Mytilus edulis: one gene and its partner. The protein of the gene in region 1 purifies or fractionates together with the protein of each later gene. This does not show direct contact. Links are inferred from orthologs where the notes say so. Each region holds a gene or a part of one and is shown on either strand. Other genes may lie near its edges.

Evidence for each region. The genes of interacting proteins can lie anywhere in the genome.
Region 2: the proteins of dnaJ homolog subfamily C member 11-like (region 1) and MICOS complex subunit MIC60-like purify together in Homo sapiens (co-immunoprecipitation; 3 studies listed by BioGRID and IntAct, with this or other methods). This does not show direct contact. The link is inferred for Mytilus edulis from reciprocal best matches to the Homo sapiens genes DNAJC11 and IMMT.

Annotation. Positions count from the first base shown.
Region 1 is NC_092356.1:64,899,148-64,910,114, reverse strand, and holds the start of dnaJ homolog subfamily C member 11-like, read right to left. Parts: upstream 3,942-10,967; 5' UTR 3,899-3,941; coding exon 3,827-3,898; intron 666-3,826; coding exon 536-665; intron 1-535. Other genes in the region: dnaJ homolog subfamily C member 28-like, read left to right, coding at 8,242-8,859, 9,290-9,403, 10,717-10,883.
Region 2 is NC_092347.1:95,492,150-95,502,736, forward strand, and holds the start of MICOS complex subunit MIC60-like, read right to left. Parts: upstream 4,857-10,587; 5' UTR 4,758-4,856; coding exon 4,719-4,757; intron 2,562-4,718; coding exon 2,452-2,561; intron 853-2,451; coding exon 679-852; intron 60-678; coding exon 1-59. UniProt on the Homo sapiens protein: Component of the MICOS complex, a large protein complex of the mitochondrial inner membrane that plays crucial roles in the maintenance of crista junctions, inner membrane architecture, and formation of contact sites to the outer membrane.

The DNA of each region.
Region 1 (10,967 bases):
TAATTCTGTTTGCTGTTCAGAGATTCCAATATGGTAAGAGCAATTTTATGACAATTTACATGACATTGACGCTATTACCTAACAAATGCCCAAGCAATCTTTGTCACTTATAAATCTGTTACATCTCATAATAATAATTAGGTATACAGTGCATATATTCTCATCAATGCAAGTTGTCATGTCATCTACATGCAAATAAAAGAGATTTCCATTTGAATATAAGTGAAATAATTAAGACATGTTTGAGAAATTAACCTTAGAGCACATACATGACATGTTGAGATATATGGTCTGAATACCAAAAAATATTAAATATACGTCATGGAACCCAGGGAGTGAACTTGGAAACTCCAATTATGGGAGGGTGTAAAGTACAGTGAAATTGTTTGTAAAATTCTTAATTTGTCTCTTTAGGTAATACCCAATTTTGAATGTATTTTTCCTGCTTTGAGTCACTCATCTCCATACAATGCTACATGTACATGATGCATATATAAATGAGCTTTTGAAAATTCATCTTTATTTTATCGTTTACCTTCATGAGCTTTCTTGATTTTATTGAACATGTTTTCTGCATGCTTCTTTTTTTTATCATCTAAATGTTTGTCTGGGTGGAAGATTTTACTGTATCTACGAAACGCTGTATTGATTTCATCTGTGCTAGCCTGAAATATAAACAAACTTCTGGTTAACATGGTTAACTTAACCCTTACCATGCCGTGACTGTCATATGGCAGGCATACCCAAAACAACGTTATTTGGCTCCAATGGCGTTCCATTCTTTTAGAAGTCCACTTTATGAGGCCTAAAATAAAATTTCATTTGTTTGGCATTGCCGCCCGACCCACTGAAAAACTTGCCGCCCAAATAATTTTATTTGCGTTTCAGAAATTTATTTTTTTTTATTTAAAAAAAAATCGAAATTGTGCCGGAATTTGATTGTATCCGCCGAGTTTGTTCCTGGCTTTACTTTTTTCAAATCACGATCTTAAAAGCGCTTGCCTTATTGGGAGCAAACATTTAAATGACATGGAATAGAAAAAGTTTGCCAAAAGTAATGTCAAAGAGGCCGGCAGGGGAAAGCATCAATGCATTGGTTAAGGGAGATGGATTTTATCAAAAATCAAATGTTCAGCTATTCTTTGAAAGAAACGTTCTGAGAGACTTTGTAGAGGACTCAAGTTTTATCTTTTGTAAAGGCTAAAAGCAGAAACAGATGATTTCTGCTCGACTTTGTCGCTTCATGAGATAGAAGTTTTTCTCCGGGACATCACAGAACAAATATGCGTGGCTCTTACATTTGTTGAACTTATTAAATATTTGAAATGTATCATTGACAAATTTTCCCTTGAACCAGAGAACAAAGTATCTACTATAGTCAGAACCACAATGATGCATTCAAGATAATTATGGCTGTAAGCACTAAAGCCCATAGACCAAAACGGTCCCAGATTTACAGGTTTATAGTAGTTTTGTACCAGTAGATGCTAGCCTGGTACAAAACATACATATTTTAAAGACTAGCATCTTGTGTCAATTGAAGTACTTCCCCCTTTTCTTGCCTTTCTTCTTAACATGAATAAAATAATTCTTAAAACATAAAAGATACTGACAGAAACATATTTATAAATGTATCTAGTGTACTAGTGATGAATAAAATCCCTTCCTTTTCCACAATTCTAAGGGCTCATTAATTTATCTGTATTCATGTAATGCATGTCCAGATTTCTGTTAATCAAACAAGCATTACAACCCATAATTTATTTATCTGCAAAAATTGTCTGTCCTGCTGCATATTTCCATTTTGAATTTATCATACATTTTAAACCTATAGCCCTGAAAAACCTTGCACTAATGGATAATATTAGTATAAACACCATGTCTATTTGTGCCAACCTTCCAAATTTTTAATATTTTGCTATCCTTATTTGGTACAGATCCTATATCCTCAAAACTTATCAGGGGCAGTAGGCGTGTTTGTATGGTAGTTCGTCACACCTTTCATGTATGATTACTAGCCTCTAGGTATTGGTTTGAGCCCTAGTTGGGCAGTTGCAAAATTAAGGTTTGATTTTCATGTCATATGTGATAAGGTTAGTCAGTTTCTTCCCGCAGGTTGCCGCCGTTTTCCTTCAAGTACTACGGTTTAATAGTATGCCAACAAAACTGACTGCCATGAAATTACATACGGTGTAGAAAGTGATGTTTATAAAACCAAAGCAAACAATAAAAGTTTTAAATCTTTGTCCATTTGTACAAGGAGCCGTAGTGGTTGAGCCATTTAACTTATGGTAATTTTACCAAACTGTGACCACAAGATGTGACATCAGGCCTCTGTTCAATTGGCAGTCCCACAATAAAAGTTCAATTTTCACGTCATACATTGTACATTTTATATGGTTAATTTGTCAGTTTCCTGCCTCAGTTCTGTGTTTTTTTCTGGGTCCTTTGGTTAACTCTGCCAACAAAACTGACTGTCTTACATGAAATTATCCATATGATGTAGAATGTGACATTGACGGTTGACCCCGTTCAAAGAAACCACCAGCATGTACACACAACAATGCTGCAATGCTTTAGACAACATTGGTCTAGAGACTTCATGATTTACATGTATAAAGCTTTTAAATGTAAAAAAAAAAAAAATCCCTACCTACCTACCCACCTGCTGATAGTGTACATGTGGGTCGGCAATGCCAAACAAACAATTTTTTAAGGGTGGCCTGATACTTATGTTAAAATCTATGCATGTTCTGTCAACCTGAGGCTATCCATATTCATGTTTCTCATGTACAAATGATGTATAAGTTGCATTTTGAGCACAAATACGGTCTTGGAAAATTGAAATCGGCTGAAACTCGGTTTTCTGGAGGGGTGGGCTTCACATCTGTGTCTTACACAGAAAGTTCAGAGTCATAAAACTTGCAAAACTAAAATATCTGACGTCACAATGGAAAATTGATTTTGTATGACGTCAATACATGTAGCTCAAGCCGAACATATTTAGAGTTCAACTTGGACAGATAGTCAGATTTCCAAACAGCAATAAGGTGTATGCAGACATTAGAATACACCTTATCTCTATTTGTCTCTTATCCTAGAAATCACACAGGTTCCCGTAAAGTTTTGACGTGATAATACAAGATATCTGACGCCACAATGGAAAAGTGATTGTTGTACACCTTATCTATATTTGTCTGCAATTACTGGATATCATACTGGTTCCTAACTAATCATTTACTAATATACTGTATACATTCATTTCAGGTATCAGTCATCCTTATTATTAAAGCTATAAACCTAGGAAGATGTTGACTCTCATTTATGACTGATACCGACAAGAAATCGACAACTCGACTAAGGTAGCAGGAGCTACACCTGTTCCTGGTTGAAACGTATTCTCTGCCATATTATTTTTGTTTACCGTCGTATAACAAAATATCTGACGCCACAGTTGAAAAGTGATTGTTGTAAGACGTCAAAAGTTCAAGCGGCCGGGTCAGACGGGATAGCGATAAGGTGTATAGACTAAAGTTCAAGCCGGACAGATTCTCATGTCAGCTGGGAAAAGCAATAAGGTGAATAGAAAGCCGTTTTATTAATCCCATGTATAGTTGCAAGTTTTATGAGTTTATACGTATTTCTTGACATTAAAACTTGACAGACTTATCCAGATGCAGAAATTACATACAAAAATAAATGAAAAATGTGCATGATGTAATTCAATGTCAAAAGGGTCAGTTTAGTCAAATATGTGGCTTTAAATTTGAAATCAAAATAATTTGTCATAAACAGTTCTTAAATGATAAAATTGCTATATTAATACCTTTCGCTCGACGTTTAAAACAGCATATAAATCTTCAGATGCAAGACCATCTTCTTCCATGAACGCTGCCATTCTTCAATCTGGTACCCTACAAAAATACAATAGAGAGCAAAGGCATAAATATGCTGTTTGATACCAGGCCGATAGTCAAACTGGTTTACGTCCTACAATACCAGTATGTATAGGTCATGATTGGGGTCATGTTGTTTTTATGTAATGGTAAAGTTTACGGCTATGCTGAGGAGCATCGAGCATACACATTTCAAGAAAAACAAAGAAGATTAGGCTGATTAATGTGACGTAGTTGATATATGATATATTGCTGATGTATATTTATTTATGTCTAAATAATTTATGATTTTATTAAGCAAAAACTAAAAAAGCAGGATTAGAAAACAGCTGTTATATGCACAAGGATAAACAAAAATCGAATTATAGTTAACCCGTACCAATGTAAACTCGTACCAACGTTAACTCGTACCACTAAAATATAACTCGTTCCAATGTAAACTCGTACCACTGCTAACTCGTACCAACTTATTTAAATGCATTTGATTGGTGTTTAATTATGAATGTAAGCGGGTCTCACTAATTAGCGACAACAAGCGTCAACAAGCGACAACAAGCGTCAACAAGCGACAAGAAGCGACAACAAAATTTATTTTAGCGACAACAAGCGACAAGAAAACTATTTAGCGACAAGAAAACATTTTTTTTTTATTAGATATAAAGAAATTTGTATGTAATGTTTTTTTTTTAAATATACGAGCAGATATGTCTAATTAAAATGTTTTATTATATAGATAAGATAAGATAACTTTATTAGCACTAACACATTGACAATAAATGGTTATGGCAACAAATTAAAGACTAACTACAATAACATATATACAATGAAGGAGTGACAGTGGATAATTATGAGAGAAATATATAAAAAATAAATGAGAAGCATATACATGATTACAAAAATCAAGTACCTTTTAATCCATGCAACAAGCATTCATTCAAATAGTTGACAACAATTTTTAATATTGTTTGGGAATTACTATTTAGAATTGATATAAGCAAGTTATATGATAAGGAAGAAAATTTGTTGTTCAATAGAACATTATTTAATTTTTTAATAAGGTTATCTCTCACATATTTATAGGAGGAACATTTTAAAAGAAAGTGAAGTTCATCTTCAATGTCTCCATTGTTACAGATAGACGAAGAAATGAAACATTTGTGAGAAAGAAAGAGATTGTGAAGTTTATATTAGTATATTGGTAGATGAAGAAATTTAACATTTGTGAAAAAGAAAGAGATTGAGCTTCTTTTTTTTAATTTTTAAATATGAAGAATATGTATAAGATAATGTATGAATCTGTTTTCATCAAAGTCAAAGTATGAATAAACGAATGGAGATACATATGGAGCGGGCATAATGGAATATAATATTTTGATTCATTTGCTTAATACTATGCTCTAAGTGTACTCTTGTTATGTCAATTCGATGCTTTATTTGTAAAACTCTCAGCCACGCTTTGCCATCTTTATTATTTAAGCGTGTTTTCAGAGCCCACGACGAGGACGTGGTTCTACCTTGGGGTCCATATACAGATCACGTACTTTTGCGGAAAAAACCCCCCAAAAAAAAGGTCAACTTTCCTTTGAAGGATTTATTGAAACAAAAACATGAAATATTATTTCCTTTCTAACAGTATAATTCATTGTTCTTGATAGGAACAACATTAGATGTGGCTTCACCTTAAGGTAATAACAGTACACACAATGTGGAACATCAAATGAGATTAACGAGTGGCGTGTCCCCTGTTTTATTGCTACAATAACATCCAATTAACACCTTCAACTTTGTACACACGTCAGACTATACAATTACACGCGCCAGACTATACAATCATTGTAAATAGTGAACACCTGTTGAAAACTCAAGATTGTCATTAATTTCCTTTCATCTTCAATCAATATGCATAAACATGATAAATATCGTTTAATGAGGCAATAAACAAATAAAAAGATGAAAACATTCACATTTCAATTTTCTTTTCCTCCTGTTTGGTTTCAGTTCTTTGTATTTCACAATTTGTGTCAATATTTTCAGGACAATGATGCACAAGTAATTCATTTTGCGAGCTTAATACATATTGCACGAAAAGAGTTTTAAAATACAAATTATAAGATAAATAATATGTTCTAAAACACAAGGAAAAGTAATCTCATAATACAATAATTAAACGTAATACTGGCTGTTATTCATAATAGATGATAAAATATTATGTAAATAATGTTTCATTTTTTTCTATCAATTTTAACTTTCTTGTCGCTAAAATTATTTTCTTTTGCATATTCTTTTAATATTTATTGCAATAATTAATTTTAATTAAAAAAAATGTTTTCTTGTCGCTAAATAACAGCTAAATAGTTTCTTGTCGCTGTTTGTCGCTTAAATAATTCTTGTTGTCGCTTCTTGTCGCTTGTTGACGCTTGTTGTCGCTAAAATTCTTGTTGTCGCTAATTAGTGAGACCGATGTATACTGTTATTTTTCTCAAAACCTCTTAAGTCTGTAAAATGTTTATAATTTGAAAGTAAAATGACTAGTCTGTAGCTAATGTTCCATGTGTATTAGATATAGACAATACCTTGGCAGATTTGATTTGTTGTCTCCCTTGAATCATTCTTTTTTAAACTTATACTGATAACCATTGGATTTAATTTTTAATCATTCCAAATCAGTTACATTGAATAGATTTGTCTACTTTTCTTTTGTTTCTCGAAGGAATTTTATTCACTGAAAGAATTAATTTAGTGTGTTTTAAAGGTTGTAAATTGTTTATGACCAACATGTTAAAAGTATGAATTTTTTTATATATAATATTTTGCACGAGATCTCATGTAGATACTCCATGATGGTACGAGCCAGACGGTTGATGACAGCCAAGTGTTCTTTACGTAGGCGTCAAGCTCTTTTGTTCTGGCAGATTTTGCTTTGGTGGCAATGTCCTCAAAGGTAGTAGGGATGTGTTCTGCCGGTAGAAATGATAGGGCCATGAGATTCTTGACAAACTTGTACACAGTGTCCTTCTGGTAGTAGGCTGTCTGAAATAAAATGAGATGTTATGAATAATGATATATCAATAAATAATATATATTGAGAACTAAGAAAACTATCAATATAGTATAGATATTGTTTATTGAAGACGTTGATAATATATATGTCAACATTATTGTAACAATTATAAAATCATTGTAAAAAATTACTTTGCTCTTCATGGCCCCTTTAGTTGGAATAAGAATATCTTTATATGTATTTGCAATCATGTTCTTGTTTCTCATTATCAATTTTACTGAATCTACGTATTCAATATTTTTCATATTTATTACATCAAATGAATATCGTATATTAATTAGCAGGGTAATAAGGTAATTAAGACCATTTATATTAGTATCTTAATAAAAAAAAAACGTATTTTTGTCCAAGTTTTCATTAAAATCCAGTATAAAATTACAGTAATTCAACTTTTTTTAATTAATTTTAGAAAGAAAAAACACCACAAAACATTTTTTTTAATGGTACGACTTCCCAGTGGTACGACTTTAAGTTGGTACGAGTTAACTTTTTTGGTACGAGTTAACATGGTACGAGTTTCCGTTGGTACGAGTTAACTTGCTTCCACAAAATCCTTGCTATAGAAATTTGTGTGTTTAGGTATCTTAAACTGGCCACATGCAACATTTTACAAACATTTTATTGTGAATCGTTTTTCAGAAAAAAATTGCCATTAGCCTTGCAAGATGTCATAATTATTGGTACTACAGTCAATACAGTAAGACCTGATCAAAGCTAAAAAAAAAAAAAAAACCATTTGAAGATGTCATAATTATTTGGACTAATAATTTGTCTCATGAAATTATACCCGGCTAGCTCAACAGTTTACTTAAGACAGTGGATGCATGTACCCACATGAGTGGATGCGTATCCAATTTGGCTTTCGGAGGCTATTCATACACGCAACTGATTTTATAAGAAACTGTCACATGATCGGGAATGAAACGTGAAAGATACACAAAAAATATTGGTTATAGAATGCAAATAATAAATAATATTTTGTATTAAATGCATTCAATAGTTATAGAAAAAAAGAATTAAACGTAAATGCACATTAAAAGAATAAAATTATACTGAATTTGAATAAAATATGTTAAAAGAAAAACAGACACTTAACCATGTTAACCATATTTGTTCTAGGTTATTTCTGGGTAAATAAAATAAACAATATGATAATTATCATGATTATTTTACAGAAACAGAGAAGTAAACACTAAAGATGATTTGAGAACAACAGTCATCATCACAGGTCTTGTTGTTTTGAGGAGAACAGTCATGATATTCACTGATACAGTCACCTAGGAAATGTTACAAAACAGGATACACATATTACATCAACATGTTCATTTATTACCACAGAAAAATACATTATCCCGCTCAAACATCAGCACATATCAACGATCTTGTCGCTGTAGTAAAAGACGGACTTCAGTCAATGTGATGTCTACATTTACATTTTGTTGTAACAGGCTTATTTCAACTGCTCTGGTAGCAAGGTCTTTAAGTTGTTGTGATAAATTTACCTTAAACAAAATGATAAATGTATCTAGGGTTAATAGCAGAGGATCACATGTCATTTTATCCTACTTCTCCATGTCAGGTTCAGGACAGAAAGAAGCAAATTTGAGAGGAAAAAACAAATTGCATCAGAATTTTTCTTCAGTTTTATGCTTGAAAAGAAAGGTATTTGTCTGTGGACAACACTTCATTTCCACCAGTAGTATTAATTGTCAGATTGGTTATAAGCTAAAAAACAATGTCAAAGACTGTTATTCATTATTTAACCTGTCACCTGACTGTACGGAGGAGGAGTTACGAGAGGCCTATCTACGACTGGCTAAACAGTATCATCCAGACAGTGGGACATCAACAGCATGTCCTCGCAAGTTCTCACAGATTCAGGATGCTTATAAAGCCATAAGGGTATGATCAGTGGTTTCATCAATTGAGATTGAGATCCTATAAAAAAATATCCAGAATTCAATGTGTGTGAAATGCATGATGATATATTAAACAAGATCAATGGGCAGTAATGGAATCTGTTTCTCTAATGCATTTTTAGAGCATAGGTTATATGTTTGCAAACTTTTTTCAATTGTAAACCTAAAAAATATTTGTGTCTTTGGTTACATTACTATATGGCATAAAGAAATCATAAGAAAGGAAGAAAATTAAATGTTAAAATTGATTTTTTTTTAATTGAGAAATAATAATAGACTACATTTGTAGCTATAAAATGTAAAAGCACCATCCAATATTTGACACAGTAAATTTCATATATTTTAAGTGTGGCATAGTGGCAACACATTTTCTGATCATTGTAAGTTAATAAATAACTATTTTTTTTCTGCAGGCAAATATGAGAGCTGATCTACAGATGCCAGTTGACATGGTTGAAGAGCAGGAAGAGGGTATATTTGACTTTCCACACACACTACCTCAGCATAGACAATACCTTGGTAATGAGGTATGTACACACACACACACTGAGATTGATACATTCAATTTCCATGGAGATTACAATGTATTCGACTTGGCTCCTCAGTCATGACAATTTTGCATAATTTACATGTAAAAAAAATATGATTAGGTCTGAGTTTAAAACCTCTATTAGTATTAAATGGTAGGTAATTATTTTTTGGTAACTGTATGCTTTTATACATTGTATAAGCATAAACACATCTCATTTGCAAGATTTCATGGTCCCGTTCTCAGTGATGGTTCAGTGACATTTTGATTTTTCTTATGCCCCACCTACACATGTACCTACGATAATAGAGGGGCATGATGTTTTCTGGTCTATGCATCTGTTCGTCTGTTCATTAGTCCGTCAGTCTGTCTGTCCATCCATCCTCTGTCCCGCTCAAGGTTAAAAATTTTGGTCAAGGTAGTTTTTGATGAAATTAAAGTCCAATGAACTTGAAACTTAGTTCACATTTTCACTATGATATGATCTTTCTAATTTTAATGCTAAATTAGAGTTTTGACCCCAATTTCATGGTCCACTGAACATAGAAAATGATAGTGCGAGTGGGGCATCTGTGTACTATGGACACATTCTTGTTTGCATATTTGTAGTTTAGGTGTAGCTAGTTTAGTGTACATGGAACCACTTATTATATGTCAATGATATGTTTATACCTGAGCCGGAATATTTTTGCCAATGCATTTCATAAATGCAATAAGATTTTGTTGCAATACAGTTTTGTTGGGGAAAATCTTTTTTTTTTTTTAAACATTACGAGTTAACATAATTTATGACAAAAAAGAGCCGGAATATTTTGTTCTAAATATTCCCAGGCCCCAAAAAAATCAAATGGTATGTGCCTGATTTAGAGTAGCCAGAGTTGCTCAATTTAGAAAAATAACTTTTTGTCATGTCTGATGTGTCATATTCCCCACTGGATCGATTTTCTAGTGCGCGAGCTAAGCAGCGGGCTAAAATGACACTCCCACTGTTTTTTTATTAAATAAAAAATCACCAGGCCACTTTTAAATGATGTTACAAAACATATACACCACGCCTTACTCATTAACATATTTAAACAAACTGCAGATTTGTTGTTTAAATATGTTAACTCGTAAATAGCGTGGTATATATACTTATTTATGGATGTATAGTAAAACCAATATTAAAACCATATCGAAATATAAGTATTGACATTTTAATTTGTATATTTATTGCAGGGTATAGGATTTAGTAACCCTAGCCAAAGACAGATCCAATATAAAAAACATAAAGTACAAGTATTGACATTATAATTCATATATTTATTCCAGGGTATAGGATTTGGTAACCCTACCCAGAGACAGACCCAATATGACAAATATAAAGTACAAAGAGCTTCAGAAGTTGTGACAGAGTTCAGAATGAGTAAAAATGTCTTGCAAACAGAAACATCAGCATTAGCAGTTAATAAGAAGCAAGCCAAGAAAAGTAAAATAAGGTCAGCAGTAAAAGTAACTAGCAATATTATACATAACCAGTATGATAATGGCCTATTCAAAGCTTAGGGTTAAACCTGTTTAGT
Region 2 (10,587 bases), on another chromosome or scaffold:
TCTCTTCTTCAGGTTTAGGAGAAATATTTGGTATAAGAGGACCTGATCTATCTGTGCTCCTGGAAAAGAAATCAGTTTGTGTATGTTTTATCTATTGTGTTAATAAATCAAACTTTAAATAAGTAGTTGTTGATATAGATCAACTTTTATGGTGCATTGATCATTTTAGTAATTTCAAATTCATTTACAATTACTTTTCAAGTAAATTACACCATTTATTTTTACTACAGCTATATCTAAAATTCTGTTTGTATTTACTTAATATTCTTTTATGCATATCCTCTGGTAGTGTTGTTCAACTGTGTAAAGTTTCATCAAAATTAGTCTAGCCATTAAAGAGGAGCTGTGCTTACAAGTTATTAACACATTGATATACTGCCCTATTGATATACATGAACATATATATAGTTGTCAATCTCTTGTAAAAAATGAATGGTTAAGGGAAGTAACTCTAGCTCCTTAAATTGTAAACAGACCATGAGATGGAAATGTTGTGGGTAAACAGCCAAAAATGTGTGTATCAGCGGAAGGAAATAAATTTTAAGACAACTAGTAAGAAACCGACATTGTGTCTGTGGTTTATCATGTATATTGGAATTAACATAATCTGCTAAAATATTTGCGCTAATATCTAATAATTATTTTCTTATATGATTGATAGATCCATTTTTATCTTACTTAATAGTTTCAGAAGTTGGTATTAACTGAAACAGAGCATCAAAAGCATCTTTACTGTATGGTACATTGTCTTCTATCTGTTTCCTGAAGTTAGAATCATACCAGGCATACCCTACCACTCCACCAGCTGCTAAGGTTGTCAACCCAAGAAACTTGAAGAAACCACCACCTTTCCTGGAAAACAATTTACAATTATTAATGTACATTTATATTTATATGTAAAAGTACTCAATTCCTTGCAATTGGGAGTATGTAATATGGCATGTATATATGGTGTCAACTTAGTTCTGTTAAATGAATTTCAGTTCCCTTGCACTAATAAGTTTTAAGCATAGCGTGCTTTCAGAATTGCTTAAATTGTGCCATGGGTGCATCAGAAGTTTATGTATACATGATATGCATCAAAGTTGTATCTTTTGTATCAATTTCATATTTCAGTATTTATAAATCTTTCTGGTGAATTAATTTTCCTTCTATTTTATATATTCTATATGTATTATACATGAAATGTATATATATCATATATATATGTAGGACTCTAAAGTGCGATGGTACTCTAAAGTGCGATGGTCACGCTAAAGTGCGATGGTCTACGCTAAAGTACGACGGTGTCTCACGCTAAAGGGCGATGTTTGTTTGTTGGCTAAAGTACGATGGTATGGCACGCTAAAGCGCGATGGAACAAATGAGAAAGGTTCAAGGGCACTAATGTCAAAAACAAGTCTTTTTGCAAAATCTAGTTTGCAATGATTTAACATATAATGCGATAGGCTTTTACTTTACCGGTAGTCTTATGTGACTGTTTCTGAATTTAGAAGACTGACCTAGTTATCATTGCTAAAAAGGTTATTTAGGTGTCACAAAATACTATATTTCATTTAAATGATTTTTTAACAATTCGGGCGTATTGGATTGGTTGTTGGTTGCTTAACGTCCAGTGACAAATATTTAATGCATGTTCAGGACGAGGGGCGTATTAAATAATTGGTGTAGCTTGCCGTTTACGCAGCCTATTAATGTGAACATCCCCTTGTCAGTTGCAAATACAAAATTCGGTCATTGTCGGAATAAATTAAATTTATTTGTACAAGCTTTGATTTAAATACGACAGAAGGGGGTTGTTGTTCGAGCTTTCCACTTTTTCGTAGCGAGTGTTATGTTTTAATACAATGTACACACTGAAGTTTTAATGGACAAGTTATGATTTACGCTTGCAAACGTGTACCTTTATTTTACCGACGTTTATACTCTGCAATAAAATCGACAATATTTTAACGTAAACCAAGGATTTGTATAAACGAAAACATTAATATGCATCTGTTCGCTTCCATTATTTATTTCATCTTCCGTCATGTTCATTTTTAGTTTGTATAAACGACTGTTAACGTCATAATCCGACTACGTTTTGTACGTCTATATTTTCCCGGACCATCGCACTTTAGCGTATGGAAGCATCGTACTTTAGCATAGACCATCGCACTTTAGCGTGACCATCCTACTTTAGCGTCCCCATCGCACTTTAGAGTCCTACATATATATGCAAATTACACTTGGTTGAGTAAACATGTAGTTTAATCGCTACTTGTATAAAAACATGTCTAGTAAATTCAATATTTATCTTTTATTAAAGTTTGAAGTAAAATAGTTTTTTAAATAGGCAATCAATTTCAACTATATCTATCCATGTGGACAGCAACACTTAATATTTTTATAAAAGATATTTGTAGATGAGTTTGTTTTACAGGTATTATCCTGCTGATAGACAAATTATACTTTGGTGGTGGTGGCGGTGGTTGTTGTTGTTGGTTAGCTTCAAATGGTGTTGATAGAGGAGGCTGAGGAACCACTGGCGGCTTTGTACTTGTAGATCTTCTTCCATGAATCTATAACAAAACAAAGAATGAAATAAATCTTTTTCATATGTCTTAAAATGTTATCCAGATTAAAATGTTACAAGCAGGAAAATCATGTAAAGACGGTGCTTGTCATTTTGAAATTCTTAAAAATACAATTTGCTTGGTCTGTTTGGTCTGCCATTAAGATTGATTGACACTTAATGGAATGTTTACAAAGCTGGAGGCTACAGACATGGAAGAGGGATTTTCTGAATTTCTAAAATGTTTATAGGCATTTGAAGTCAGGTTTGAAATGGCCATTAGAAAATCTGCATTTCTGTATAATTCTTAATATGCTTAAGAATAACCATGATAACAATGAAAACGTATCTAAAGAATGGTTGTTTTATTCGGCATGTTTATGCGGTATGGGCTTTGCTCATTGTTGAAGGCCGTACAGTGACCTATAGTTGTTAATGTCTGTGTCATTTTGGTCTTTTGTGGATAGTTGTCTCATTGGCAATCATACCACATCTTCTTTTTTTTATATTAGAAGATATTAAAAAACATATTCTGCACTAATTTTGTATGCTGGTATTAGCTTAGAATGCAGAATTTTTCGGTGTGATAAGTACAATTACTAAGTCCTTACCAACATGATGACTGATTATTCAGATTATATCCTGAAATGGTGATAAGTCGTTCATCTAGGCACATTTTTTCTTTTTTTTTCCCTGTAGACTGAGCTTTGTTTTATTATTACCATGTACAAATGTATTGACAAGCAGGGTTACTCATCAATTTTTCTCAGTCACTGAATGTACTATGTATGCCATACTAAAGATGCTGACCCTGTAAAGGGCCTGTTTGTTTACATTCAAATACCAATGGTGTCAAAACCTTGTGATGCATTGAATTCATTCTACCCAATCAAATGGTTTATTATCAATTAGGTGATTTTTTTAAAGACTGAGGCAATTATATTATTTGTTGGAGTGATATTGCTTTGAAATAGTTTGCAATAAATTGGGGGGTTTATTCAATAAAAAAAAACATTTTTAGCCATGAATTTTGACATCAATGGAATTTTATATGAATATTTACCTATGGTCATGATGGTCAGTATATTGATCTTTATATATTGATTGATTTTTTTTTTATGAAAAATATATGTATATACATATTGTTTTTTAATAACCTACTCTATATTCCTGAACAAAATTATGGCATGAACATATTTTTTCCCTAAGTTTTCCTTTCATTTTGGATTGGTTTTTTTAGAGTTAAAATTGTGTAAGACGTAAGGTGCCTGTCATTTTGAATTTCTTAAAAATACCATTTCCTTGGCCTGTTTTGTCTGCCACTAAGATTGATGAAGCTGAATGGAATGTACACAAAAGCGATGGAGCCCGTAAGTGGGATTTTTTGAAGTTCTGAAATGTTTTAAGGCATTTGGAAGTCAGGTTTGAAACAGCATTAAGAAAATTGGCATTTTTAGCAATAATTAAGAATAACAGTGAAAACGTATCTTAAGAAATGTTTTTATATTTAGAAGAGTAGAAAAAACCTCTTCTGCACTATTTTTTTACGCTGCCGCTAGTGGGACATAGTGACATGATTGCTTGGTTTTCCCATGTGATAATTACAATAACAAAGTCTGAACGAACCAACAAAATGACCGACAATCAACTAGGTAGGATCGACTATAGACTAGGTAGGATACTGGTAATTAAACCAATGAACACAGGGGAAAAGTCAATATACAAACTGAGAATTTGTTACAGTGAGACTGTGTGTTCATTCTTTGTGGGTCTCATTGGGGTCTAAGTGTGATGCCGGATAGCCGATTGTTTGTAAACGTGACACGTGAAAGTCAATTTATTGTGCCATGAAAACGGGAGATGAAGTCTAGCGGGACACAGGAAATTACAAAAAATGAGAATTGAATGCGTACATAGTGTAAGCGGGATACGGGAATCTGACAAAACAGTAAGCAATATCCGGGATCGGAACCCCCCCAATGAGACCCTCTTCATTATTTAGGTATCCCATAGCATAGAAGTGTCCAATGGCACCATGGCACTTAAGTTAAGACTTTAATGACAGATAATTTGGCATGACATGTTGTCCAGTACTGATTTTAATCAGCTGAAAAGGGAATCCTTAGAAAAGAAGATATTTGGCATCCTCAGTTCACTTACTAACCTTGATTTTGGGGGGCACTCTAGATGTTGTCCTCCACATTGCTAATCAGTAGGACACCGGCTCTTCAATTTGACTTCCGGTAACCTTCATCAACGACTTTTGTACTCAGCAGATGATTTACATTGTAAGTTTGTGCCGAATCTGAATAGTAACAGATAAAACTTAAACCCAAACAAAAAAATTTGATTGTAAAGCACCATAATGTACAGTTTCATACTGATACCAGTATCAACAAATGAAGGGAAAAAAACACAGAAATAAACCCAAAGCTTAATTAAACTAATGAATCAATGTATTATATCTTATTTTTCTGTTTACCAACGTAATATTACTTAAAAGATCTTTTTCCCAATGTGTATATATATATAGGACGCCTGCGTGTGTGAGAATTTCTCGCTGCATTATAGACCTGTTGGTGACCTTCTACTGTTGTTTGTTCTATGGTCGGGTTGCTGTCTCTTTGACACATTCCCCATTTCCATTCTCAATTTTATAGGCCATGAGACAACACGTCAGTTTTGACTGAGAGAAGAAAATCATCAAGTGCCACGCCACAGTCTAATTAATATATGGAAACTTTATGGTTGTCATATTTAATAGTCATACTTTTGTCATTTTCAAATATCAGAGACATATATGTCTCTGCAAATACATATTGAAGTGAAGTTTATTAGAAAAGTGAGATGACAAAGAAGAATTTCAAAAAGAGCTGGTAAAATCATTTCAGTCTGTCTGTTTATAACTGACAATTTTAGAAAGAATACTAAAGAAAATAAAACTGTTTTTATTAGGCACAGCTGGCTACGATTATATTGAAATTTTACAATAATAAAAAAAAATGTTACATTGGGGACTTATTGTCGGAATGCAGGGTTGGGCAAGGAACTGATTAATTACGAATGTAACAATAATAATTATGCCTACGATTAAATTGCGTTGTTGTTACATTAAATCATTATTATTGTTACATCAATTCCATGTAACTTTAGCCCGAGTGCCTTCTTATTGGACAGGAGACTAGTCAATTAACTTCGATGGTGTGTTATATTTTCCCCACTGATTACTCTGATCCACAATTTGACGAAAAAAGTATTCTGGTCAAGCAGATGACAAACAAAATAGAATGAAATTCAAAACAGTGTAGCTGTGGCCATTGATTGACACATTAAAATCATCCATTGACTGGGACAATTTAGGTGAACGTTTGTATGTAACGACCAATGCTCACTATGTACTTTTTAAAGACACTTAAACTATGGGGTCACCAAAGGTTCTCAACACCTAAATAAAGTAATTCGAAAAATTAATCAGAAATAACACGATATTTTGATTTCTATCAATTATATAAATCAAAACACAAAGGTTATTCCTGATTAATTTTTCGAATTATTTTATAATTAAAGGCGTTAAGAAACCTTTGGTGACCCCACAGTTTAAATGTCTATCGTAGGTACGTCGTGAACAGTGGTCGTTACAGACAAACGTTCACGTAAATTGTCCCAGTCAATGGATGATTTTAATGTGTCAATCAATGGCCACAGCTACACTGTTTTGAATTTCATTCTATTCCAAGTTTCCCGGCTATACCTTATGGTGTTAAATATTGAAAAAAAAATGATCGATAGGTTTTGGAAATATTTCTGACTCAGACAAAAAACCATACCCCCTTTAAAGTTAAACGGTTGCTCCCTTATATGATTAGCGTCGTCAGTTTTACTAAATGATATGTTTGTTGTATCACATGATTCAAAAATGTGTCTCAGGTTTTTAAAACTGATAAATTCCAGCAGAGCACCGACCATTCATCTGAGGAGCATGATTGTTCTTTTCTTAGTATATATCAGCATTATGAAATAAAACAAACTTAACGAAGTTTACGTTTTGATCAAGGACAGGCCTGGTTCTTCTATATACTCTTATTTATAGTTACTTACTTACTTACTTACTTACTTATATGTAATTTTGAAATCTAAAATATAAAAGTGCAACAACACTATCTACACACTACTTTTGATGTAGCATCGTATATATCCCCATTTATATGAAGGACAAAGAGTTATCAAAGGTACCAGGCTTATGATAAGCCATACGCGTAAACACGAAATTTATAAAAATGACCATATAATTGATATTCTTGTCAACACCTAAGTGCTTACTACTGGGCTGGTGATACCCTCGGGGACGAAACGTCCACCAGCACTCACTGAACTTATACATGTATGTAAGTCGGGGGTTGTTTCTTTAATCTGATCACTCTTATTCGTATCAATGCTAGGTCCATTACAAGTCGTTGGTACTTCAGAGGGGCTGATTTGTGGCGTTTCCTGAAGGAAAGAGGGTATAAGTTACTAAAAAATTTGAATGAACGAAACTTTTAGACAAACAGATGATGGAACGGGGGTATTCATTCAATATATAAAAAATAAAATTGAGAATGGAAATGGGGAATGTGCCAAAGAGACAACAACCCGACCATAGAAAAAAACAACAGCAGAAGGTCACCAACAGGTCTTCAATGTAGCGAGAAATTCCCGCACCCGGAGGCGTCCTTCAACTGGCCCCTAAACAAATATATACTAGTTCAGTGATAATGGACGCCATACTAATTTCCAAATTGTACACAAGAAACTAAAATTAAAATAATACAAGACTAACAAAGGCCAGAGGCTCCTGACTTGGGACAGGCGCAAAAATATTTATGTGACTTTAAAACTTTAAAATTATTTTTGAATTTTGGCATCACAGTAAAAAAATATTATTGGTCGAGAAAAGTTATTATACAAACTTTAAAAATTTAGATAAACGTAATGTAAAAAAGTATAAATTATCTGCTAAAAACATCTAAGATTGAGGACTGTCTCTTCATTTTTACACCTTAATTAACATCAAAGAAATCGATCAAATAATTAGCGATTGTTGATTACATGTTCATTGTATAAACATACCTGTCAAAGTACATGTATTTAGCCTTAAGGTAAGTAATGACAACTTTATGACTGGTGATTACGATAGACAAATTGATTTGATCGACGAATTTATTTTTCAAAATGTTCAAGGTGCACCACTTTTTGGTACATGGTGCACCATTTTTGCAAACCCAGGGGGTGGTCACCGGCACCGGGTGACCACCCCCTGGATCCGCCTCTGAGCAGTGGCATAGACCCAGTGGTGTAAATAGTTGTAAAGTGTAGCAGGAACAATTCTGCCTAAGATTCGGGGATGCGGACCACAGCTAATTCTAGTTTGTAAACTGATGTGTGCGGAAAACGACTGATGCCAAAAGTGATGCGCTATAATATATCTAAGTAAATGAAAACCAAAAACTGAAAACAATATATAATTTAATCAACAAAGTACAACTTTTATTATGTAAAGCCAAAAGTGTAGAAATGGAGCATTCATTATGATTTCACATTATCATACTAAGGAGGCATGTAGCAGATGCACTAACCTAAACTCTGGTTGGAAAGCCTGGCTTTCCTTGGTAGGACTGAATGTCAGTCCTCAGAGGATTCAAAATAAGAATCTAAAAGTACTTATATAAAATATATAAATTTCTCACAGAAGGTAACCAAAGAATTTGCAACGATGCAAATATTAAACTTTACAATATAAATAAATATCTTTAACCAATGAATTAAAATAGCAAAAGCTATGTAATTTAACAAATATATCCTCAATAAGCTTCATGTAAATTAATTAACAATGAAATACATCAAATATGAAATTTAGAGTTTTACCAAAGGGAGCTAAAAATTAACTAATAACTCTGTCTGCTACATTCCTCCCCCCTAAGACAAACGAAAAATTTCATCAATTAAAGTCTGCAAACTGAAATGTCTATCAAATTCATGTATCTGCATCAATATGTACGCAAAATCCAAATGTCAGGATCAAACATTAAATCCAAAATACATCAGTTTAAGTTGAATCACGAGACTGTTCAAGGAGACCGCAACACCAGTCTGATACCCTCCTCCTCCCTTCGAAAACAAATGTATATGAAATAACATTTGACGGTGAAATTTAACAAAAGTCCATCAACGTTCATCAGATAAAATGTCTTTCAAGCAAATGTAAAACTATCACTTTTAGATAAATGTCACTGTTTAACACATACACAAACAAACATCGGCATCAGTTTCAAAGGATAACGGACGCAACTTGAGGTCTTCTTTGTAAGTAGGCTTCAGAATCAGTGGAACGGCATATAGGATAAGGCACAGCTAACGGTTGAAATCCAACATGAAAAGTTATACCAGGCAATGTCCACCAATGTTGATCTCACAGTGGCACATTTGACGTGTACCACCGGGTTCTTTTACTGCATTCCAACGTTGTTGATAACGGTAACACAGACGTTGTGCCACCGGAGATGGATCGGGTCCATCTGTATGCAAGGTTCTCAAAATAAAGTTAAACGATGCCCAAACTTTACATGGTACCAAATAATGGATCAGATCCATCTGTATAGGCTAGAAGTGTTCCTAACTTTAAGCTTAACTTTCACTCTATTGGTTTCTGCCATGACAAAAGTCAAGAAGTCGGTCTCCTGTAAACTCTCCAAATAATAAATAATTGGCTAGAGATTACAATCCAGACAAACGAGCAACAACTCATAAAACAAACCAATTCCTACTTAATACTAGCTAACAGTCTACACTTCAAACTACACAGAGGATCAGCCATAATTCAAGCCAGTATTGAAAATGAAAAATAAAACAAGTTGGGATGTGCGCCATCCCTCCCTTTGAAAAAAACCCAAACAGTCAAAACTGAGACGCATGACACCTATGAGTACATTGACATAAAAATAAAGTATAACTATATATTTACAACACAATGTAAAAACAACCATATTAAACAAAGGTAACACAATCTGAACTACAATGATCATTCCTCAACATCCCGCCTATTTCTGAGAGCTTTACTTGACTATCTGCAGACCTTTCATCTCTAGCATGAACTTTGATAGACATATTTGGACACTTAGACCTGACATGACCTGACTGGTGACATTTAAAACATCTCTTAGGTTTATGTTTCCTACGTGATTTCAATCGCCTTCTCAAAATATTAATTAAAATTTCAAAACTGTTATGAACTGTTTTACAACAATCTAAACTTTCTGTCTCATCAATAATCTCATGATCACCAGAAAAATGAACAGCTTCATATTCAATAGCTAGTGATAAAGCCTCATCTAAACTATGAGGATGCTTAAAAGTGACAAATTTAGCCATCTCAATATTCAAACATGATGTAAATAAGTCAGTAAAATATGAATCCAAATCTGAAAAATTATCAGGATAAGCCTTATGAGCAAGTATCTTGAAACGCTGACCAAATTCTGAAATTGTTTCATTTTCCTTCAAACTACAAACTCGCAGTTGAAATTTAAAATATGCCACCCTCTCCTTAGGATTGAACCTCTGAATGAGAACATTTTTCAAGCAGTCATAATCGTATAACTGTGGCCTCTTTAAGAAACGTAAGATAGTTTGAGCATCACCTCTCAAATTCATTATCAACTGACATGCCATCTCAAATTCATTCCACTGATTCCAAAGAGAAACTGTCTCAAAATGAACAAAATAATCTGTAATATCAATGCTTATACCATCAAACAAACAAGGTTTTTCTTCAAACCTCATCATAACTGAATAAACATTTACAAAATGAACCAAACTATGAAAATAAAATACCCCAGAAATAACTATTCAAAACTGCTCTGATTAGGACTGTCATATCCAGTAGCACCAATAACTGACTCAAATGTCTGCTCCATTTCTTATATATAATTTTGTTCAGTTACAAACCAGAAAAGCTGCTTTAGAATTCCACACCCCACCCGCACTACCAAATGTAG